Saccharomyces cerevisiae S288C: one gene and its partners. The gene in region 1 interacts genetically with each later gene. Each region holds a gene or a part of one and is shown on either strand. Other genes may lie near its edges.

Region 1 (6,351 bases):
ATAATTTCGTCAAATGCTTTGTCCATTGCAAAATGCAGTATTGAATCGTCTAATGGAAAAGGTACTAGACGCTTATCGTTTCAGTTTTTTAGTCTTTTCCATCTATTTATCAGTCTGTACTCAAAATAACCTTATTGTATGTAACCTTTTTCATTTCACGATGATAATTTCTTGCCGAGTTAGACAGAAAATGACCGTGATAGTTTGTCATAATTTTCAATAGGGCAGAAAGAATTTTAAAGATTATTTGCTATCTAGACATTATGTGTTTTATATGATTGCTGTAAAAGTATTAGGAGAGATCGTCGAAAATATCCTTAAACCTTGGCACGTTCCCATAGCTCCTTTTGATGTTTGCAAGCCAAGTTACGGAGTTGGCAAATTGTCTTAATGTAGGTTCAACAGTAGCCAAATTTCCGTAAGCTACGGTTAGCCTATATGCGGCTTCTTCGCATTCTTGATACTCTTCCAATGGCCCATACTTGGTGTTGATGGCGTCAGCTACGATAGGCAAAAGTTCTAAATCAGAGTTCCCTTTCGTGACGAGAGCTGAATAGTTGAAAATTAGTGTGGAAACTGCAATAGCCAAATTCTGTGACTGTTTAGCAGATGCCTGAGAAAATTCAGTATCTATAGTCTCAAAAATTGATTTATAAACTTGATTTGATTCCAGTAATTTCACACCCCAGTTTTCATTATTGAAGCAATTTACCAAAATACGCACAGTTAACATGGTTAGAGTGATATTCTTATTGCCCAAGCCTTCTTCGATGTAATCTTTTATATCTGAAGAATAAGGTAATTTTTTTACAATCAATCGTACTATGTCGTATGCAGGAGTCTTAATTTCCCAGTTAGATCTTATAGTGTTAGCAAATGAAAGTAGCAACTCCCAGCTTTCATCTATGTCATGTAGTGCGCCACCAATTTGCGCCAGAATTTCATCATCAAAGGTCTTCTCATTTGAATTTATTTTTACTATTCCATTGAAAATAGTATCTGGGTTATAATTTTCCATGATAAGATACTGCTTGACAGGAAGAACCTTCATTACGCTCGTTTTTGAAGGTGATACTGCAGAAGATGATGCATTATCGTTGGGCTGGTCTAGCGATATGCCATTAGTGTTCTTCAGTATGAACTGTACTACTTGATCCCTATAACTCATTGGCAGTTCATAACGAGCCAAAAAATTGTCGGCTGCTGTATATGGGTTGTCGCTGACATTAATCGGCAATTTCAAGGGAGGTTTTCCATCTTCAATATCCACATCAAATACGTAGTCATACGTTTTACCCTCGAATTCTATTTTTTTGTCGTTTCCAGTAGCACCTGCACCGACAACATCACCAACCTTTTTCCATGAAGAATTTGAAAATTGATGAGCTTCTATAGTACCTTGAGGTGATTTGACTACCACAATTTGACCCTCTTTGCGCCCCGGCGATTGTAAAATTTCATAAGGTGATAGTTTAGACTCATCAAATTCTATTGTCTTGGAACTTATAGTGGATTTTTCCACTTGCGTAGATAGTTCATTTATTTCATCCTCGGAAGCCCATCTTGACTTCTCTTGCGAAAATATTCTCACAAGATTATCACTACTTCCCACAATAATATCACCATTAGACATACAATCAACGGACCAAATAGAGATGGCAGGAAGTGTAATTACCTGCTTTAACGAACCATTTTCCTTTGACCATATACGGACTGTTCGGTCTTCGCCGCAGCTTACAATATCTCCATTGGGCAGCAGTTTAATGCAATAAACAAAGCTTTCATGGCCTTCATATGTTCTTAGTACGTCACCTGTATGCATATCAACCAACTTGATGAGGCCATCGTTTGAACAACTGATAAAATGGCCATCATCCACCACAGCTAAATGTCTTACTACATCATTGTGAATCCCACTGAAAGTTTTGATCACTTTATCGTTTTGCCACAGTTTAATCGTCTTATCGGCGGAAGCTGTCAAGAATTTATTTTCTGAGAAGGATACGACTTTGGCATCCCATACAGAGGCATTGTGTGCTTGCAAATTGTAAACCAACGATCCTTCTTTCCAAACCTTTGCGGTTTTGTCCCAACTACCGCTTATCACAACACCATCTTGGAAGGATAAACTACAAACGTTCCCTTGGTGGCCAATCAAGGTATACAAGGGATCCTCTCCTGAGGTGGCAAACAAGGGCACACCGTTGATCATAGTATCCTTACCTCCAAAAAGCAACAACTCCTTCTCGGAATCATAACACACACTATTTAAAAATCCTTGTCCTGTATAAACTACCGTACCGAGCCATTGGTCATCTTTAGACCACAAGCGAACTGTTCCATCCCTCGAAACACTAGCAACCTTTGAATCATCCACAGCTACCACATCCCTGACGTCCTGATCGTGCCCTTTAAGTGTTGCACTCAATTGATATCCCATACTCCAAATCTGCTGCTCTACACCTTACTATCACACATGAATATATATATATAAAATAAGCCAAGACAGTGGCCTTCCCTTATTATCAGCGTACTAAAATCTCATATGATTTATTTTTCGTGGTCCTGAACGAGTGTGAAAAATTTTGAAAAACTCGCAAAGGAAATGCCAAGGTCAGCAACTTTCTCGACGTCCAAGCCTCGCTCCTATTGTTTTAGTAACCTGTAGACCTTCAATATTCAAGAGCTTGCACACGCACGCATTGCTGCACTACTGCTTACCCACACTACAAATTTAATTCCAGCTTATTGAAGTTGAAAAGGCAAGGGAAAAATACCACAGGTTTAGATAAGGAAATAGGAGAAAGGATTAGAAACCATATCCCTATAACAGTAACGATAATATTTATATACACGTATATTTTCTCGTCTAGATATGACAGGTCCAATAGTGTACGTTCAAAATGCGGACGGTATCTTCTTCAAGCTTGCTGAGGGCAAAGGAACTAACGATGCTGTTATTCACTTGGCCAATCAAGATCAAGGTGTTCGGGTCCTTGGAGCAGAGGAATTTCCTGTGCAAGGTGAAGTAGTAAAGATTGCGTCCTTGATGGGGTTCATTAAGCTAAAGTTGAACAGGTATGCCATTATCGCAAATACTGTGGAAGAGACCGGTAGATTCAATGGCCACGTTTTCTATAGAGTGTTGCAACATTCTATCGTATCTACCAAGTTTAACTCGAGAATCGATTCTGAAGAAGCCGAATATATCAAGCTACTGGAGTTGCATTTGAAAAATTCCACCTTTTATTTTTCATACACATATGATTTAACAAATTCCTTACAAAGAAATGAAAAGGTTGGTCCTGCAGCCTCCTGGAAAACCGCTGATGAACGATTCTTTTGGAACCATTACTTAACTGAAGATTTGAGAAACTTTGCTCATCAAGATCCTAGAATTGACTCCTTTATACAACCTGTTATCTATGGGTATGCCAAGACAGTGGACGCCGTTTTGAATGCCACCCCTATCGTTCTTGGTTTGATTACCAGACGTAGTATATTTAGGGCGGGCACAAGATACTTCCGTCGTGGTGTTGACAAAGACGGTAACGTTGGCAATTTCAATGAAACTGAGCAAATTTTACTCGCTGAGAATCCAGAGAGTGAAAAAATACACGTTTTCTCCTTCTTACAGACAAGAGGATCTGTGCCAATATACTGGGCTGAAATCAACAACTTGAAGTACAAGCCAAATCTTGTTCTTGGAGAAAACTCATTAGATGCGACAAAAAAGCATTTTGACCAGCAAAAGGAGTTATATGGCGACAACTACTTGGTTAACCTAGTCAACCAAAAGGGCCACGAACTACCCGTGAAAGAGGGCTATGAATCAGTCGTGCACGCGCTAAACGATCCGAAGATTCACTACGTGTATTTTGACTTCCACCATGAATGTCGTAAGATGCAATGGCATAGAGTGAAATTGTTAATTGATCACCTGGAGAAATTAGGTTTATCTAACGAAGATTTCTTCCACAAGGTCATAGACTCTAATGGTAACACCGTTGAAATTGTTAATGAGCAACATTCCGTTGTAAGAACAAACTGTATGGATTGTTTGGACAGAACAAATGTCGTTCAATCTGTTTTAGCCCAGTGGGTTTTGCAAAAGGAGTTTGAAAGTGCCGATGTCGTTGCTACTGGAAGCACTTGGGAAGACAACGCTCCATTGTTAACTTCTTACCAAAACTTATGGGCTGATAATGCAGATGCAGTTAGTGTGGCATATTCGGGCACTGGAGCTTTGAAGACCGATTTCACAAGAACCGGTAAGCGTACACGTCTAGGTGCATTCAACGATTTTTTGAATTCAGCATCACGTTATTACCAGAACAATTGGACTGATGGTCCAAGACAGGATTCATACGATTTATTCCTTGGTGGATTTAGACCACATACCGCTTCTATCAAGTCGCCATTCCCCGACAGAAGACCAGTGTATATTCAGCTGATCCCAATGATCATTTGCGCAGCCTTGACCGTTTTAGGTGCTACGATATTTTTTCCTAAAGATAGATTTACCAGCAGTAAGAATTTGCTGTATTTTGCAGGTGCGTCGATTGTCTTGGCGCTTTCAACCAAATTCATGTTTAAGAACGGTATTCAGTTTGTCAACTGGCCTAAGTTAGTAGACGTTGGGTTCTTGGTCGTTCATCAAACGCATGATAAAGAACAACAATTCAAAGGTTTGAAATATGCACAGAGTCCTAAATTTTCCAAGCCGGATCCTTTAAAAAGAGATTAATGAGTTCTATATGTGATAAAATGATGATTATTGTAAATCCAAAACGTAAAACCGAAAATATGATAAAAACGAGAAAAAAAGTAAGTTAAAAAATAAAAAAATAAAAAAATGAACGCCGGCCCCAGAGGGAAGAACAAGCTATTTATTTTCTTTTTTACTTTATCTTTCATGGTCATATATATATATATATATATATATATATATCTTCTATAGGCTACTATACATGAAGGCGTTCGCCCTTACAACGTTAAGTTTTTTTCCCTATTGTACCGTGTAAGTTTCAATTATTCGCATAATTCATGAATGAACTTCTTCACATCGGTTGATTTCATTAGGGCTTCACCCACTAAAAATCCATGGACACCTTCTTTTTTGTATTTTTCAGCATCGTCCCTGGTGGTAATTCCCGATAGAGCAATTAGAAGAACATCCTTTGGAATAGATTCTACCAAGTTACTGGTGGTATTTAGGTCTACGTTGAATGAATGCAGGTCCCTATTATTGACACCTACAACTTTAGCACCAATTTCTAGAGCCCTTTGTAATTCCTCTTTGGAGTTCACCTCAACGAGAGGTTCCATGTTCAAATCTTTACTGTAGCTGTACAGTTCCTTCAATAAGGGTTGAGATAGCATCTTGACTATAAGAAGGACAGTGTCAGCTCCAGCTAATCTTGCTTCTAGTATTTGATACTTGCTGAAAATAAATTCTTTTCTCAAAACACAAGGCCTCTCCTTGGGAGGAAATTTCAAATCTAGGATTTTCCTCACATTTACTAAATCCTGTAACGAACCGTGAAACCAATGAGGTTCGGTCAATACGGAAATTGCGGATGCACCAGCCTCTGCGTATTTGAGAGCCTGTTCAGCAGCAACAGCTTTTAAACAAATGGGTCCCTTCGATGGAGAGGCACGCTTGACTTCAGCAAGAACAACGGCTCTTTTATGGGATGATGACAACACCGTGTAGAAATCCTGTAACGGTGGGGCAAGACCTAAATCATAGTTAGATTGTAAGTCTTGAAAGGTGAAACCTGGGATTTTAGACTGCTCATTGACGTCTATTTTACGCCGAGCATAGATACGGTCCAAAATAGAATTTGAAGGAGATGATTTGTTTTCCTCCCAAGTGCCTCCACTGACGTTTAAAATGTTCCTGATCATCAGATGACCTTCCTCGGTCAAGATGGATTCCGGATGAAATTGCACACCTTCTACAGTGTACTTCTTGTGTCTTACACCCATGATAATTCCATTTTCGGTACTCGCAGTAACCTTCAAGCAGGATGGTAGGGACGATTCTGTCCCGGCCAATGAATGGTATCTTGTCACAGCAATACCTTGCGGCACGTTCTTGAAAATTCCACAGTTGTCGTGAGAGATTGGGGACGTTTTACCGTGGACAATCTCACCAGCGTAGGCAACTTCACCACCAAATACGTCAAACATGCATTGCTGGCCCATACAGATTCCAAATACAGGAATTTTCCCAGTAAAGTACCGGATACAGTCTCTTGAAATGCCAGAATCTGTCTTTGGGTGGCCTGGTCCAGGCGAGATAAGCAATGTGTCGGGATTCAAGGCGGCAATTTCTGGAACTGTAAT
Region 2 (5,616 bases), on another chromosome or scaffold:
TATAAAAAAAATTCAAAATAGAAAACGATTCTGTACAAGGAGTATTTTTTTTTTGTTCTAGTGTGTTTATATTATCCTTGGCTAAGAGGCACTGCGTATACTTCAAGGTACCCCTGTGTTTTGAAAAAAAACAACAGTAAAATAGGAACTCCGCGAGGTTCAGGAACCTGAAACAAAATCAATAAAAACATTATATGCGTTTCGAACAAAATTAAAGAAAAAGAATAAATATAGATTAAAAAAAAAAAGAAGAAATTAAAAGAATTTCTACTAAATCCCAATTGTTATATATTTGTTAAATGCCAAAAAAGTTTATAAAAAATTTAGAATGTATAAATAATAATAAACTAAGTTTACAACAACAAAGCAGCGGCACCAGCCAACAAAGCACCAGCAGCTGGCAAAGCCTTAGCAGCAGCACCAGTGTAAGAGGTGACAGAGTGAGTTGGAGCAGCAGAGGTGGTGTTCTTTGGAGCTTCAGTAGAGGTAACTGGAGCAGCAGTAGAAGTACCGTTCTTTGGGGCTTCAGTGGTCAATGGGCACCAGGTGGTGTATTGAGTGATAACGTCATCGACGGTGACGGTAGCGGTGGAAACCAAAGCTGGGGAGACAGTTTCAGAACAGACGTGGTCTTCACAAGAAGTGATGGTGACCAAAGTGGTAGATTCTTGGCTGACAGTAGCAGTGGTAACGTTAGCAGCGGCAGAAGCGACAGCGGCGACAGCGGCGATAGAAGCGACAGTAGAAAATTGCATTATTGATATAGTGTTTAAGCGAATGACAGAAGATTAATTTCTTGGTATGTTAGGAAAGAATAAAGGAGAATAAGAATAATTAGAACAATGTAGGATGGAAAGAAAGATTATCAAGCATGCCGACTTTATATACTTGAACGGAGGCAAAGGATGCAAAATTTTCTCACATTTCTTTCTGCCGTTATGTTGGAAGTAAGACTCCCATTATCGCAATACTGCAACACGAATATGCAAAATTTGCTGAGTTATCGCAGATAGTTGTTGCAAAGATAGCGGCGTAGGTGGCCGCGAAATGGGGAATTCCAAAACAAACGGTTTTTTTACTCCTGAGAAATACTTGTACGGGATAATCCAGGGCCTACCACCCACGCTTCGAGGATTGGCTTTTATTTTTTTTTTTTTGGTGGCGTTTTATTTCTTTCCCGCTTTCTGGGACTTGTGCGGAGTTTTGAGAGGGGCGCGCGGCAAAGGATTCCCAAAACGGAAATCAGACGCCAATAGCCAGCACTCAAAGCAGTTCTGGACCCATTCCGATTTTCCCATTTGGTTCTTGCGCGTGCTGATTCCGACACGCGCGTCTATAAATAGCATGAAGTATCCGCACACCGCAGCGTTAGTGAGGTGAGGGTGGCAGCAAGCTAATTCCCGCATCTGGAATCTGAACTGCCCCTTTTGGACTAACCGTGTGGTTCATGGGTGGGCGAAGTGCGCAACCTCGAAGGTTTTCTTTTGCGTGTCGGATTTTACATCCGGCGGTAGCGCATGATGCCATGGCTGGCTCCAGATACATCCTCAGGGCACCAGCATCTATAATTAGATTGGCGCAACATGGCTGGCTGCACTGCTGTCTTCACTTCTTTCTTTTTCCGGCAATGAATGATGTATGTTTTGTGGCAAAAGGGTCCGCATTGTACCTGTTTACAGTTGAGATTATCGTTTTTGGTAGCCCTTCATTACGGCATAACGTATTAAGTTTCTTTTATTTTGCTTTGCCCTGGTTTAAAAGACAATGTCGATTAAAAGTTAATTTTAATCGATTGAAGGAAATAAGAGGAATAGCGCAAGTTGTTAGGAAAGCGTTCTTTATCTCCAAGACTTTGCCCTGTATATAATTAAACACCTCAAAGCGCTTCGTCATGGATGGAGATTATTCGGCATTTTGACATACAGGAGTGCCACATGCGAAAGCGGAGTGGGCGTATTCTCTGGTTACCCTACATGGTCTGGCGGCGTTATTATACGGGAGGATCTTCGAAGGGAAGGAAGGAAAAAAAAAAAGAAAAGGCCAACGAAAAGCAAATATTATCTATCGTCGAAATTATCATACTATCTTACAATAAGAGTAGTAATTACTTTCTTGTTTGTATAGTGGAAGAGGAATTTGCGATAATAATAGCAAAAGTAACTAATCTCTAACAAGAAACCTTATTTATTTTCTCTTTCTTCTATATTGGTAAATACTAGACTCGAAAAAAAGGAACAAAGGGAAAACAGGGAAAACTACAACTATCGTATATAATAATGACCACTAACGAGGAATTCATTAGGACACAGATATTCGGTACAGTTTTCGAGATCACAAATAGATACAATGATTTAAACCCCGTTGGGATGGGGGCATTTGGGTTGGTTTGCTCAGCCACGGACACTTTGACATCTCAGCCAGTTGCCATTAAGAAAATCATGAAACCTTTTTCCACTGCAGTGCTGGCCAAAAGGACATATCGTGAACTAAAACTACTAAAACATCTAAGACACGAGAACTTGATTTGCCTTCAGGACATATTTCTTTCTCCATTGGAAGATATATATTTTGTCACGGAATTACAAGGAACAGATTTACATAGACTCTTGCAAACAAGACCCTTGGAAAAGCAATTTGTTCAGTATTTCCTATACCAAATTCTAAGGGGTTTAAAATACGTTCACTCCGCGGGCGTCATTCATAGAGATTTGAAACCGAGCAACATTCTGATTAATGAAAACTGTGATTTGAAGATTTGCGATTTCGGTCTAGCAAGAATTCAAGACCCTCAAATGACAGGCTATGTTTCCACTAGATACTACAGGGCACCTGAAATCATGCTAACGTGGCAAAAATATGACGTCGAGGTCGACATTTGGTCCGCTGGTTGTATTTTTGCCGAAATGATTGAAGGTAAGCCTTTGTTCCCTGGGAAAGATCATGTTCACCAATTTTCGATCATCACTGACTTGTTGGGATCTCCGCCAAAGGATGTGATAAATACTATTTGTTCCGAAAATACTCTAAAATTTGTTACTTCGTTACCACACAGAGATCCAATTCCATTTTCTGAAAGATTTAAAACAGTCGAACCTGATGCCGTAGACCTTTTGGAAAAAATGCTGGTTTTTGATCCTAAGAAGAGAATCACTGCGGCGGATGCCTTGGCTCATCCTTATTCGGCTCCTTACCACGATCCAACGGATGAACCAGTAGCCGATGCCAAGTTCGATTGGCACTTTAATGACGCTGATCTGCCTGTCGATACCTGGCGTGTTATGATGTACTCAGAAATCCTAGACTTCCATAAGATTGGTGGCAGTGATGGACAGATTGATATATCTGCCACGTTTGATGACCAAGTTGCTGCAGCCACCGCTGCCGCGGCGCAGGCACAGGCTCAGGCTCAGGCTCAAGTTCAGTTAAACATGGCTGCGCATTCGCATAATGGCGCTGGCACTACTGGAAATGATCACTCAGATATAGCTGGTGGAAACAAAGTCAGCGATCATGTAGCTGCAAATGACACCATTACGGACTACGGTAACCAGGCCATACAGTACGCTAATGAGTTCCAACAGTAAACGTGTTTTTTTAATGTCCCTAACCACTCATTCTTACTTCTTTTTGATGTTTCTTTTTTTTATGGTACTCATAAAAGTATTTACGTATATAGTTGTATAGAGGAAACAAAAAAAAAAAGATAAAACTCAATTACAAAGTAAAGTGGACGTATTTCGATCATGATTTTTTTCTGTTTTAACCGCATTGGATTTTCTTGTAAAACTGGAAGAAAAAGGAAACTAAAAAGTCAAGAAAGACCTTTTTAAGACTCCAAGAACCGTCACTTATGGCGTATTGTTTGTTTATCAGCACTTCTATCTTCGATAAAGGTTTGTCTGTCTTATATTGTTTACATTTCAAGTCTAATTCTGTGCTTTTACCGAAGAGGAATTTTCATAAATACGGAGAAAATATAAAAAAAAAGTAAATACAGAAAATAGAACAGTTGAAGCAGAAAAAGAGAACTTGCTAAATAGCTGTCTCACCCAGACAAGCGTATACTTACCACATTTAGTCTTTTGCAATCTCATTCTTGTTGAAGATAACTATTACATTCACGGACTGTGGCAGAAACTTCTCCTTAAGAAATTAGGAACTCATAAAAGGAATCAGCAGCTCTATGTAATATCAAAATCTTTTCTATTTTTTGTATTTATGCTCTCATTCATTAATTCTAACGGAGCTATTTATTATAAACAGTGAAGATATAAACCATATGTCTAATAGAACAAATTTCAAAAAGTCTTCAATTTCGTGGATGTGGGAATGCATTTATTAAAAATAATGAATGGCAACATACGACACCAAAATAGGAACACTTTCAGTACTATACAGAACTACGGATCTTAGTTTATTGAGTTTTGAGAAATAGGTTGATATGGAGACAATTTCTTAGCGTTATTAGAGGTTATAAGTATACAGAATAACCTACGAGTAGTCCTCAAGAAGATAAGACTCTGCAAAAGGTATCAATAATTTTACTTAATCATAGCACTATTTCTTCTTTCGCTTTGTACAGCAGCTCATATATTCCATTACATTATCAATTCTTACATCGTAGCATAAAACACTAAGATTCAAAAATAGAAAACTGTTGTATCTCAAAATGAGATACGTCAGTATGACAATACGTCATCCTAAACGTTCATAAAACACATATGAAACAACCTTATAACAAAACGAACAACATGAGACAAAACCCGTCCTTCCCTAGCTGAACTACCCAAAAGTATAAATGCCTGAACAATTAGTTTAGATCCGAGATTCCGCGCTTCCACCACTTAGTATGATTCATATTTTATATAATATATAAGATAAGTAACATCCGTGAGTTAATCTGATAAACCGTTTTGACAACTGGTAACTTCCCTAAGACTGTTTATATTAGGATTGTCAAGACACTCCGGTATTACTCGAGCCCGTAATAAAACAAAAACAATAAATCTTGTTCCTCGTGGCCCAATGGTCACGGCGTCTGGCTACGAACCAGAAGATTCCAGGTTCAAGTCCTGGCGGGGAAGATTTTTTTGCTCCGACAATTATGTCGCTACCCTTCAGTTTTGTTGAAAATGATGCTTTTATCGTTAACTTTACTTATCTTTATTGTTTGCAAGATTACTATTAATATTAAAGAGGGTCTAGCAAGGATACTGCGATTGTTTCTAAATATTTCAACTTTCTACGTTATTCATCTTTAGGAAGCTAAAAAGCATTCAAAAGATTACTATGAAGTTAATCTTTAAACATAGTTTGATGAGCGTCTATGCAAATAGAATAACTTCAAAAAATTTTCTATTCCATTTTTGGAAAGCCCCAAAAAGCTATATTCTATAATTTCTGAATCTTATTGTGCTTGTGGAGGTCACCCCAGTTTTCTATAAATTATTATTCAGCTATTATCCCAATACGACTAAAGGTATTGAGATTCACGGATATTTTTTCCCCTGCAACTTTCACAACTGGAGGGCTCTGTTTCTTGATTTTCTTTTTGTCATATAAACATATCTTAGCGCGATTGCTAACAAATAGTATAGATATCATAATTTTTCCTCA
Region 3 (5,117 bases), on another chromosome or scaffold:
CAGACACTTTGGACTGTTTACCTTGCCGAACAACCGTACATAATGGTTGCTTTAGTAGAGTAGCTGACATCACTAACTTTGTGTAATTGACTTAGTTTAAATGTGGCTTGTAGCACTCACACAAGAAAGAACTCAAAGCAGCAACAACAAAAGTTTTCAAAGCTGATAATGAAGTATCTGCAGACATATGTTTGAGATGACTCTTTTTCTTTGATATTTTTTTTTTCTTTTTATGCGATTCCAAATTTGCTACCCGCTGCGCTTTTTCTTTTTGCCCTTCTTATTTTTTCTTTTTCGCGTCAATTAAAATTGAACGTCACAAAATAGCAGAGATAATATGCAATAAAGAGAGAAGAGTTAAAGAGTCTTGGTAGTCAGGAAAAGGTTTTCATATTCATCAGACATAATGAATTTCAAGGAGCCGCTAGTGAATTTTTTAAAATGCGTCTTGAATAACATAAACTCGGCATTTTCGCATAGGATTGATCAATTGCAATTGCAGCTGTTGCGGGAAACAAATATCTTGAGGGTTTTGAACAGGGGAATAGAGAGACTGTTTAGCGAGAATCCAAGGACCCATTCTGTTTCCCGTATCGTGGTGGAAAAAGATGTGGGCTGCAGAATTGGACGATATGTGGAAGGTTCTAAATATGAACTGGTAGAGTCCAGGGCGAAAGAAATACAAATATATTATGAAAGGATGGTTTTTGAAATAACACAAGAATTGAAAGGGGACAAGCGGGTGTTTGCCTTGATTGCAAATCTTTCCCAAAGATATAGCGCAGAGAGGAAAGAAATACGAAATGTAAAGGTGCATGGTGGGCGGCCATGTAATGAGAACGAATTCCAGGTGATTCCGATAAGATTCAAACCTATTAATTTGGAAAGAAGAGCACGACTGATAAGAAAGAAGAAGACTATTAATTAAAAAACTTACATACAAATACATGCCTTACTTTCGATGCCAGCATCTGGAAAGGGAAAGGCAGGGGCAGAGGGACATATTACTTATCTATTTATGCATAATTTGTGTTATATATTGGTATGATAACTTGATGTTAGAGAATGTGCTATTCTGTTTCTTGAAAATCTGAGTTAAGGTTGATACCGCTTTGATACAGCGGGTGTGACAGGTTTATCTGTGACGGTGACAGGGGCAGTAGAACTACTGGAAGCCGCAAAGTCAGAGGATACTGTGAGTGGTGGTGCCCACAACGTGGATGGTCTCAGTTTGACCCTAGGACTTGCAGAAGATCCTGTGGGAAAATCCGGGGAAGGCGGATGGCTACTTGGGTTGAGCATTACTCTCTTTGTGAAAAGGGAGGGAGGGAGAAGTTTGGGGATGAGATGGTTGCTCTTATAACATAAGGTAAATAAAAATTTGGGGTGACCCCGCCGTGCGCGTTTGCTGGGACAAAAGAACAAGAATAGGAACATGAAAAGATTTGAATGATATGGATATGTACAAATGAGCTCTTCCATGTTTGTAGCATCAGCAACGTAGCTCTAGGAAATATGTCTGAATTAACAGAGGCGGAAAAGCGCAGGTTACTAAGGGAAAGGAGACAGAAGAAGTTTAGCAATGGAGGTGCCAGCTCCAGGCTTAATAAAATCACCGGGCAGGCAAGCAGTCATTTGAACGCAGAATCACCTTTAGACGCTCCTAGCGCTGCAAAGACCACACCACCTGCGAGTGTGCATTCGGCTACTCCAGATATCAAAGAAGATAGCAACGTAGCGCCCCAATTGGACCTATTGAAACAGCTCGCTGCCATGCAAGGCCAAGGTACGGGTAAAAGTACCCCTCAGGACTCCTCTACGCCCGATCTACTCTCACTACTAAGTTCTATGAACACTGGCATGCCCAGTGCAGAGGGTACACCATCGTTTGGTCAAGCGGCTCCTGCAGCCCCGATCAATCAAGCTGCTTTGGACTACCATGATTACTTGCTGAACAGACTGAAAGCCTGGACCATTCTTGTGAAGTGGGTCTTTTTCCTACTACCCTATCTATACCTAATCACAAGACCAAATTCCTCTGTGTGGCCGGCCTATGCATTTACTCAATCAGCTTGGTTTGCACCTTTGCGGAACCCATCGAATTTCACTAGAATTTTTGCCACGTTTGAGTTCCTTTCCATATCCATCTACTACCAGCTATTGAAGAATGTGGAACACAAGAGCAAGATTAAAAATTTACAAGATACCAATAAACTTGTCAAGTTAGTTTCACTGGTGCCCGAGGGAGTAATTCCCGTCGCCAACCTGAAGGGGAAGCTAATTACCCTTTTGCAATACTGGGATCTATTGTCCATGCTAATCACTGACATTTCGTTTGTGCTAATTGTCTTAGGCTTATTGACGTACTTATAAATTCTAGATAGTTCAGTAATATAATACATTGTTCTCATAACCCGACATTATTCCCGGCTTTCTTTTCAGGTAATTGAAAAAAAAAGAAAAACGGTAAGAAAATTTTCTAAGCGATGAGTTCGTGAAAAATCGATGTATAGAACTGAATTGGAGTTCAATAGTAAAAAAAAATCCATATATAGCATTAAAAACTCAGTATCCTAGCTTTAAGAAACTGAACCAGATTCCAACGACACAATGGGTCACAAGAAGAACGGTCACAGACGCCAGATAAAAGAAAGAGAAAACCAGAATAAATTTGAACGTTCCACATATACTAATAATGCTAAAAATAATCATACTCAAACAAAGGATAAAAAACTAAGAGCAGGCTTGAAAAAAATAGACGAGCAATATAAAAAGGCGGTATCTTCTGCTGCGGCAACAGATTACCTTTTACCCGAGTCCAATGGTTATTTGGAACCTGAGAATGAGCTAGAAAAGACTTTCAAAGTGCAACAATCGGAAATCAAATCGAGTGTGGATGTCAGTACTGCAAACAAAGCTTTGGATTTATCTTTGAAGGAATTCGGCCCTTATCATATAAAATATGCAAAAAACGGTACGCATCTTTTGATTACTGGCCGCAAAGGTCACGTAGCATCTATGGACTGGAGAAAGGGACAACTTCGTGCTGAGCTGTTTTTGAATGAAACCTGTCACTCAGCGACATATTTGCAAAACGAACAATACTTTGCTGTAGCGCAAAAAAAATATACATTTATTTATGATCACGAAGGTACAGAATTACATCGTTTGAAACAACATATTGAGGCAAGACATTTAGATTTTCTACCATATCATTACCTGCTCGTAACTGCCGGTGAGACAGGTTGGTTGAAGTACCACGATGTTTCCACTGGCCAGTTGGTCTCGGAATTGAGGACCAAAGCTGGGCCAACTATGGCAATGGCACAAAACCCATGGAATGCTGTGATGCATCTAGGTCATTCAAACGGTACAGTATCCCTCTGGTCACCATCCATGCCTGAACCATTAGTAAAATTACTTTCTGCCAGAGGACCAGTGAACAGCATTGCTATCGATAGAAGCGGGTATTACATGGCAACCACAGGGGCTGATAGGTCGATGAAAATTTGGGATATCAGAAACTTCAAGCAACTACATTCTGTGGAAAGCTTACCGACGCCAGGAACAAACGTTTCCATTTCAGATACTGGTCTATTGGCATTATCTAGGGGCCCTCACGTTACGTTGTGGAAGGACGCTTTAAAATTAAGTGGAGACAGTAAACCGTGCTTCGGGTCCATGGGAGGGAACCCACATAGAAACACCCCTTACATGTCACATTTGTTTGCCGGAAACAAAGTAGAAAATTTGGGATTCGTACCATTTGAAGATTTACTAGGTGTAGGCCATCAAACGGGTATTACGAATTTGATTGTACCTGGTGCAGGTGAAGCCAATTACGATGCCTTAGAATTAAACCCATTCGAAACCAAAAAACAAAGACAGGAACAGGAAGTCAGAACCCTATTGAACAAACTGCCAGCAGATACAATTACTTTAGATCCGAATTCCATCGGTTCAGTGGATAAAAGGTCTTCTACCATAAGGTTAAACGCTAAGGATTTGGCGCAAACTACAATGGATGCTAATAATAAAGCCAAAACCAACAGCGACATTCCAGATGTAAAACCTGATGTGAAAGGTAAGAATTCGGGTTTGCGTTCCTTTTTGCGTAAAAAGACTCAAAACGTTATTGATGAAAGAAAATTAAGAGTACAGAAACAACTGGATAAGGAGAAAAATATTCGTAAAAGAAACCACCAAATCAAACAAGGCCTAATTTCAGAAGACCACAAGGATGTCATCGAAGAGGCATTGAGCAGATTCGGCTAAATCGAAATATCTTTAAAAAAAAAACTTAAATGATTATGTATGTATATATAAAATAGATAATCATTATTATTGCCTCAAGCATTCTTCTATCCATTTTTTTTTTGGTTCTTTTTAATATTTTATAGGAAACTTTTAATCATGTTCAAAAAGTTGACAGTATGAGAATCGATTGCATATTAATATAGCAATCTAATTGAGATCTTAGCAGAGGTTTGATTTAGTTGTTCATAAATATCTTTAATATCGCTTTGGTCAACAGAAGAGATATCAGCCATTAAATAAGCAATTTCACCATTTGAATCGGAAAATTGCTTTTCGATGTTATGGTTCGATAAAATATCATTGACGGTCTTCAAAACACCTGGTACATTTTGGTGAATGTATAACACACGCACAGTGTTCTCTTGGTCGTAAGACAATGATTTCAATGCCACTTCTGGGAAGTTGACTGAACCGACAGAGTTACCTTCATTGATGTATTTGGACAATGCGGTAGCCACTTCAATACCGATTGAGCTTTGGGCTTCTTCGGTAGAGCCACCAATGTGTGGTGTCAAGATGATATTTGGTAATGAAACTAATTCAGAAGTCCAGCTATTTAGCTCATCGTTAAATGAACCTTCACCGTTCTTAGCTGGTTCATGTGGATAAACATCCAAAGCAGCACCTGCAATTTTGTTGGCTTTCACGGCTTGGATCAAAGATGGAATGTCCACGACAGTACCTCTTGAAGCATTAATAACATAAGCGCCATCCTTCATAGCAGCAAATTGTGGGGCAGATAACATTTTTTCAGTTTCAGGAGTAGCTGGTACATGTAGTGTCACAAAATCAGATTTATT
Region 4 (7,222 bases), on another chromosome or scaffold:
ATGGCTTAAATAATCAGAGAGGGCGGCAAACTCGGCATTCGAAATGGATGTAATTTTACCTTGCCACTTGCCACCTTTCTTACCACCACCGCCTTTTAGGTTTTGTAGTATCGAACCTAAGTTAGCAGCCAAATTGGCAATTTTTTCACCCGATTCCGAAAGAATTAGCAGTGAGCCAGTGTTCGTTTGTCTTTCATAACCGCATAGGATAATTTCGTAACCTTCTGTATCATCTTTCAAAAAATTAGATACTTCCTTGTGGATCTGTAGCAACAGTTCCAATGTTCCGTATTCTTCTTCCATAAAATAAGCCCTTTTCTTTCCACTGGCTTTCAGTGTGTTCATTAATTCTTCAGAAGCGGTACGTGCTAATCTCTTTATCCAATACTGTTCTCTTTTATTTAATTGTTGAATTTGTTTGGTTTGCCTTGTTATCTTCTCAGAAATTTGAGTTTCTGAACAACTCAATAAGTTTTTAGAATCCAGTAAAATTTTATTAACAGATTTTGCATACAAAGAAACCCGCTTCCCACACATGAAATAGAGCCTTGAGTTTGAACCTCTTACGGCTGATTGATTGGAAAGAATTAAAATGGAACCTATTTGAGAGGTACATTTCAAATGTGTACCACAACATGGGTTAGAATCAATGTCACCGATGTGGATAGTACGTAGAACACCTTTGGAGAGGTCGTAATCGTCTGGAATTTTGGATGTACTAACTTCATCTACTGTTTCTTCACCGATTCTTTCCTCTACAATAATTTCCTGAGGAAAGTTGATGATCAACTGATTAATCTCATCTGATACGTTCGTTATTTCGTCGAGAGTCAATTTCCTGTTCAACTCTATATAATTGAAATAGTCGCTAGGCTCTAGAACAGGTTTTTTCTTTGTGATGATACCACCCATCGACCAAGATACAGTGTCTACTTTGTAGTTGCGTTCCAGAATGGCACTTAACAAGTGTTGACCAGTATGTTGTTGCATATAATCCATTCTCTTTTGCTCGTCCACGGCCACTTCCACTGTTGTTCCGGGCTCAATGTAGTCATTGACATGATGCTTTGCATGTAAACCGAAACGAGAAACGTGTGAAACTAATATCTTCTCAATTTTCGACGAATTACGATTCCCTTCAACAATTTTCAAAAAACCAGAATCACTTGGTTGGCCCCCACCTTCGGGGAACAGAATAGTATCTTGTAGTTCAATCTCATAACCTTCAATCTCTCCCTTTTTATTCTTCGTTGGTTCGCAAGAAACAACCAGTGTTTTGAACCCATCGAAGAGAAATGAGTTCCTCTGGCAGGCTAAAGCGCCGACCTTGACAGGCGTCATAGGTGTGGGCATGATAACTTACCTTTTAATCAATTTTTGACGCTGTTGTGTGCTTTCGTCGATATGCGTCACCAGGATGTCTATTCTTAAGTTTTTTTTACACGATAAGGATAAAAAATAAAAAGATGTTAATGATGGGTGGTTGGTTCTTTTACTAATGAAAAGTGTAAGCATATTTCGTACAAATTGCTTGCAATAAGTCACTTGTACAAAAGTAAACTGATATAAACGTCTTCCTAGTGGGCTGAATTTCAGAATTTACGCGAGTGATACATGAATTTACTGATAATCGATGGTATTCGTTATTTGATAAGGTGGTATTATTGAATATACAGAATGCATTATATGCGCTCATTGAGGATATAATAGTCATGACAGGAAATCAATGTCCTACGTAATAACACTATTATTTCTTCCTTTGCATTGCACGTTGTTATGCATTACTCTGTTACATCATCAGTTCTTGTATTTCGGCTTTTACTAGATTTGAGATTGTATCTCATGGCTTATGTCACTTTCTTACATTGTGTGTGATAGGTATACTAGTAACATGGCCACTAGTCAATAAGCAACGGTCAATTCTTATTCCAGCAGTTCTTAATATGCATGGAATTAGTGAAGAATAGGAGCCGATAACTTTACTTGTGCATTTGTATTAAATTTACGTCCTTCTTATTTATTTCGTCCACGTACGTTACTACCCTTTTTCCAGTAATTTTTCTTTAACTTGAAATGGTCTTGTAACTCCTATTACATTCCGGTGCCATATCAAGAGTAGCCTGGTAATATAGAAAAATTCCAGTAGCTTAACAAGAGCCTATTTTTAATCAAAAATGCCGGAGCAAAAAGCCAACTGTTCACCAAACGGTAACATAACAGTTGATAGTATGATTATGTCGCTAGGATCTTCTTAAAGGATAACACGAATTACGAAACCAATAGAGGGATATTAGAAGGATCAGCTGAAACCTAAAGATCAATAATATAACAGGATTATAAGTGACAACATATAGTATTAAAGAAACAAACCGCTATATGATTGCATGTATTACCACCTCTCTTTTGTTGATACGCATATCCCTGAGGAAAACTCTCAGCACATTCCATATACGAGGGAAAAATTGGATTTCAAAAACTGGTATCTAATCCTACCGATGCGTATGTTAGTCGAAATCTATAAGTAAATTGTTAATGATTGCTTTCTGTTCGTTTATACTTCCATTTTACTTATATATCACCTGCCGTCTCAGACGACAAAATACATACAACTGGCGTAATGACGCTTTCATACAAAATATACATCTAAGGTAGTAATTCATTCTAGTAAATATTCATCCGAAAGCTGTAGTATCTGAAGTATATTGTACATTATCGTAACAAAATCCCCAGTGAAGTTTACTCACAATGGATTTCGTTGTAGACTATCAGACCTACGCAATGGCGGATACTGCCACGCCAGAATTACCAGAACCTGAGCCAAGACTAAACTTAACCTCAGATGCACAGTCACAGCCCACCGGTAAACTAGATCTACAGTTTAAGTTGCCCGACCTTCAACGTTATTCCAATAATAATGCAACTTTGCCAGTAGATAATGATGGTGCTGGTTCGAAAGACCTACATAAGAAAATGACACATTACGCAATGTCTTCCATTGATAAAATACAGCTTTCAAATCCAAGCAAACAATTAGGGCAAAATTCCCAGGATGAAAAACTATCGCAGCAAGAATCTCAAAATTTCACGAATTACGAGCCAAAAAACCTTGATTTATCAAAATTAGTATCCCCGTCAAGTGGTTCCAACAAAAATACCACAAATTTGGTTCTTTCGAATAAACTATCCAAGATATTGAACAATTACACATTGATTAACTATCAGGCCACAGTCCAACTAAGAAAATCCCTAAAGGTTCTAGAAGAGAATAAAGAGAGATTGTCCCTTGATGAACAAAAGCTCATGAATCCTGAATATGTAGGTACTTTGGCAAGAAGAGCATTGAGGACTGATTTGGAATCTCAACTGCTAAAGGAACATATTACGGTACTTGAGGAATTCAAACCTATCATTAGAAGGATTAAACGATTATCTTCTTCCGTCGAAAAAATACAAAGAACGAGCGAAAAATTACTAAGTAATGAGACAAATGAGGTTCCAACAAATAACGTGGTACTTCAGGAAATAGATCAATACCGTTTAAAGGCAGAGCAGTTGAAGCTGAAAAAAAAAATACTGTTATCTATAAGGGATAGGTTTACTTTGAATCAGGTAGAGGACGATGTAATCACCAATGGTACTATAGACAACATCTTTTTCGAGGTAGTAAAGAAAGTAATCAATATTAAAGATGAATCAAGTTTCTTGCTGACGCTTCCTAATTTGAATGCTGGAAATGCTTTGATAATGGGAGTTAATGAAATTTTAGAAAAGACAAACAAAAAAATCTTCAATTATTTGATCGATTTTTTATATAGTTTTGAATCCTCTTCAAATTTATTAAATGACCATGGTACTACTGAACAAGAAAGCTTAAACATTTTTCGGAAGAGTCTGGTCTTCCTGTCAAGTGATCTAGAATTATTTAATGAGTTGTTGAAAAGAGTGACCACACTGAGATCCAAGAGTATTCTGGATGAGTTTTTGTCTCAATTCGATATGAATTCAACTACCTCTAAACCCATCATATTATCGGCACACGATCCAATTAGGTATATTGGTGACGTACTAGCGTCCGTTCATTCCATCATCGCAAATGAAGCTGATTTCGTGAAGTCACTATTTGACTTTCAGGATGAAGACTTAAAAGATACCCCAATTTCTATACTTCAACAAAACAAGACATTCTTGAAAGGCATCGACAACAAATTGCTGAACGATATCATCCAGTCGCTATCCAATTCGTGTCGTATTCGTATCGAGCAAATCGTGAGGTTTGAAGAAAATCCGATCATCAATTTCGAGATTGTGAGGCTGCTGAAACTTTACAGAGTTATGTTCGAGAGAAAGGGAATTCAGGACGATAGTTCTATTATTAACAATTTAAAGTCGTTGGAAGACATTTCCAAAAACAGAATTATTGGATACTATGAAGACTATATGAAGCAAACAGTCATGGCGGAAACAAAAAATTCTTCAGATGATTTACTGCCACCAGAGTGGCTATCAGAGTATATGAATAAATTGGTAGAGTTATTTGAAATTTATGAAAAGACACATGCTGCCGAAGATGAGGAATCAGAAGATAATAAATTGCTCTCATCTAAGAATTTACAAACAATTGTAGAACAACCAATAAAAGATGTTCTGTTAAAACAATTGCAAACATCTTTTCCTTTGGCGAAAAAAAATGAAAAAGAAAAGGCATCATTGCTAACTATAGAGATAAACTGTTTCGATTTAATTAAATCTAGACTTCAACCTTTTGAGGGATTGTTTGCACAAGATGATGACAGCCGGAAAATCACCATCTGGGTTTGTGATAAACTGAAGGAATATACTAAGCAAATGCTAACTTTACAAATAAAATTCCTATTTGAGAATACAGGTTTAGACCTTTACAGCAATTTGGTCAATATGATTTTTCCTGTGGACTCAGTAAAGGATGAATTGGATTATGATATGTACTTAGCCCTGAGGGATAATTCATTGATGGAATTAGACATGGTCAGAAAAAATGTGCATGATAAGTTGAACTATTATCTACCTCAGGCGTTAACAGATGTTCAAGGTAATTTACTATTTAAATTAACGTCACCAATGATAGCTGATGAAATATGCGATGAATGTTTCAAGAAGTTGTCGCTATTTTATAATATCTTCAGGAAACTGTTGATTCATTTGTATCCGAACAAGAAGGATCAGGTATTCGAAATTTTAAATTTTTCCACTGATGAATTTGACATGTTGATAGGTATTGATCACTGAGAGATGAACAACTTCTGTTTAAAATCGTCTCACAAAGACGCATCTTGCCCATAATGTAGCGATGCTCTATATCTCAAATATTTGTTACCTTTTTTATGTTGGTATGCGGCGGGTATCTATATAATATATGGGTGTATACATACGTAGGGGGAACATCAAAAAGAAAATAATGATCACTCAAGTACTATTTAAAATCTTGCCTACAGAATTATCCTTTGTGATGGTTCTTACGGGGCTTTCGTTTCTACTACTGCTTTCACTGCATGTTCTGTCATCCAAGTCATCGTGTACTTGACGTCCTTCACGAACCGATTGCAGCATATTTGGTTGTTCCTTCATATTGGATTCAATTGGTTTGTCATGTGAGGTAAGTGCTACGGACACGTTAGAATGTATAGGGGATGGTGATCTCTGTACTTGTTTTTCTTTTGCTTCATCGATAATACTTAAATCGATCACTCCAAAGGAGGATGTGGATCTTGCACGCCTATGCTTTTTTTGAACCATTCCAGGTTTCCTTGGTATAGTATGTAAATTGTGCGTGTGGAGATCCTGTTGCTGTTGTGGAGGAGGAGGCAGTGGTTGAGATAGCGGCTGCTGTTGGTCTCTATTGAAACTTAGTATGGATGTCATTGTAGAAGGAATATTAGGATTGGTGAACTTTCCTATTGGAAGTGACAAGTTACGGCTGTGAAGAGAAGTCGGCTTCTTGTTTAAAGGCGATTCTTGAGATTTTGTACCAGAGGGAATTCGCCTAGCCACATCTTCCTCCTTAATGGAAATATTGTCATTCAACGCAGCAACTGCGGATGCACCTATTCTTGCAGGAGAATTAGCTCTTCGTTGTACATTTGTAACTGTGGAGTGTGATATACCGCCGGTAGAGGATGATGCTGGAAACTTATATGGAGAGGGCTGTCGACTCATTGGAGTTGGTGACACTGTGTTCATATTTAGAGGTTTTAATGACTTCATAGAACCATTCAATCTGGGCAGATTTTCTGAAGATTGCGTGCCTTCTGTATTGTTATGTGGTTGATTGCCCCCTGCCTTCATCGGCGAAGACGCCGGTACGCCATGGTCGGTGTTGAATAGTTTATGTATTTGATTTATGGGCAGACCTGAACTGGAAGCAAGCTTAAACAACTCTATCGAACGATTCAAGTTTTCAAGTTTATAATATTGCTGCTTAGTCTTTTCTTGTTCTATTTTCAAATCCATAGCTTTCATTAAAGCATTCTCAGAAAAAGCCCATTCCGATACATTAGTACCAAATATTATATCTAACAGCGATTTGCTCTTGTTGACATTATTATGACTATTATCATTGCTTTCCTTTGGCTGGCTGTAACTGTTGAAAGTACTCATTGGTCGCCTGTGCTCACAGATGGTTGCAAGTTTTCCATGTAATGTAATTTGCTACTTATTTTCCTACTGCACGCGCAAGTTTTCTCGTTGACTGTTATTAAGAAACAAATGAACAAACAACAACTGCACTAGAAGAGCAACAAGACTAGTTTCCGCTTTCCTTCTCTTTTTCTTTTTTAAAAAAGCCAATACTGCATTTGCAGCTTACTGAAGAGGCCAAAAGAAACAAGGCTTGATGATAGTCAGTAATCTTCCTCTGGACCTCTTCGCCGAGTTCTTCGAGAAGTTCCCAATAAGGTAATCGAAACGAGAGAAAAAAAGACGAGCAAAAAATTTTCTCAATTTGCCTACTTTTAAGGGTTCGGAGAGGAAGGTTTATTTGTAAATCATGACATTATTGGGCGAAGCGTAAGTGGCTTTGAAGAAGAGGAATAGCTACTCGACCAAAACTTGAAGATACTATCATACCCAACTTGGAGCGCTCAGTGACTAGTCTGCCTTTAGTGCTGTCCTGCCTCCCGTCATGCCAAGAGCCGTACTCTCCCCTTAAGGGCTGCTATTTTTTTCCGGTAGGTGTTCGGAATCCCCT

Evidence for each region.
Region 2: mutations in SAC1 (region 1) and HOG1 together harm fitness more than expected from each alone (negative genetic interaction), as found in Saccharomyces cerevisiae (6 studies listed by BioGRID, with this or other methods).
Region 3: mutations in SAC1 (region 1) and GET2 together harm fitness more than expected from each alone (negative genetic interaction), as found in Saccharomyces cerevisiae (6 studies listed by BioGRID, with this or other methods).
Region 4: mutations in SAC1 (region 1) and COG6 together harm fitness more than expected from each alone (negative genetic interaction), as found in Saccharomyces cerevisiae (5 studies listed by BioGRID).

What each region holds. Positions count from the first base shown.
Region 1 is NC_001143.9:31,668-38,018, forward strand, and holds SAC1 (phosphatidylinositol-3-phosphatase SAC1), read left to right. Parts: upstream 1-2,875; coding exon 2,876-4,747; downstream 4,748-6,351. Other genes in the region: YRA2 (Yra2p), read right to left, coding at 1-26; DOA1 (Doa1p), read right to left, coding at 293-2,440; TRP3 (bifunctional anthranilate synthase/indole-3-glycerol-phosphate synthase), read right to left, coding at 5,032-6,351. UniProt on the Saccharomyces cerevisiae protein: Phosphoinositide phosphatase which catalyzes the hydrolysis of phosphatidylinositol 3-phosphate (PtdIns(3)P) and phosphatidylinositol 4-phosphate (PtdIns(4)P). Has low activity towards phosphatidylinositol-3,5-bisphosphate (PtdIns(3,5)P2).
Region 2 is NC_001144.5:369,344-374,959, forward strand, and holds HOG1 (mitogen-activated protein kinase HOG1), read left to right. Parts: upstream 1-2,276; coding exon 2,277-3,584; downstream 3,585-5,616. Other genes in the region: CCW12 (Ccw12p), read right to left, coding at 354-755; YLR111W (uncharacterized protein), read left to right, coding at 1,048-1,380; YLR112W (uncharacterized protein), read left to right, coding at 1,448-1,867; AVL9 (Avl9p), read right to left, coding at 5,601-5,616. UniProt on the Saccharomyces cerevisiae protein: Proline-directed serine/threonine-protein kinase involved in a signal transduction pathway that is activated by changes in the osmolarity of the extracellular environment.
Region 3 is NC_001137.3:323,430-328,546, reverse strand, and holds GET2 (GET complex subunit GET2), read left to right. Parts: upstream 1-1,515; coding exon 1,516-2,373; downstream 2,374-5,117. Other genes in the region: threonine ammonia-lyase ILV1, read right to left, coding at 1-70; YER085C (uncharacterized protein), read left to right, coding at 407-928; YER084W (uncharacterized protein), read right to left, coding at 1,096-1,482; UTP7 (Utp7p), read left to right, coding at 2,611-4,275; phosphoglycerate dehydrogenase SER3, read right to left, coding at 4,452-5,117. UniProt on the Saccharomyces cerevisiae protein: Required for the post-translational delivery of tail-anchored (TA) proteins to the endoplasmic reticulum.
Region 4 is NC_001146.8:547,511-554,732, reverse strand, and holds COG6 (Golgi transport complex subunit COG6), read left to right. Parts: upstream 1-2,745; coding exon 2,746-5,265; downstream 5,266-7,222. Other genes in the region: YNL040W (putative alanine--tRNA ligase), read right to left, coding at 1-1,353; YNL040C-A (uncharacterized protein), read left to right, coding at 2,175-2,255; BOP3 (Bop3p), read right to left, coding at 5,443-6,633. UniProt on the Saccharomyces cerevisiae protein: Acts as a component of the peripheral membrane COG complex that is involved in intra-Golgi protein trafficking.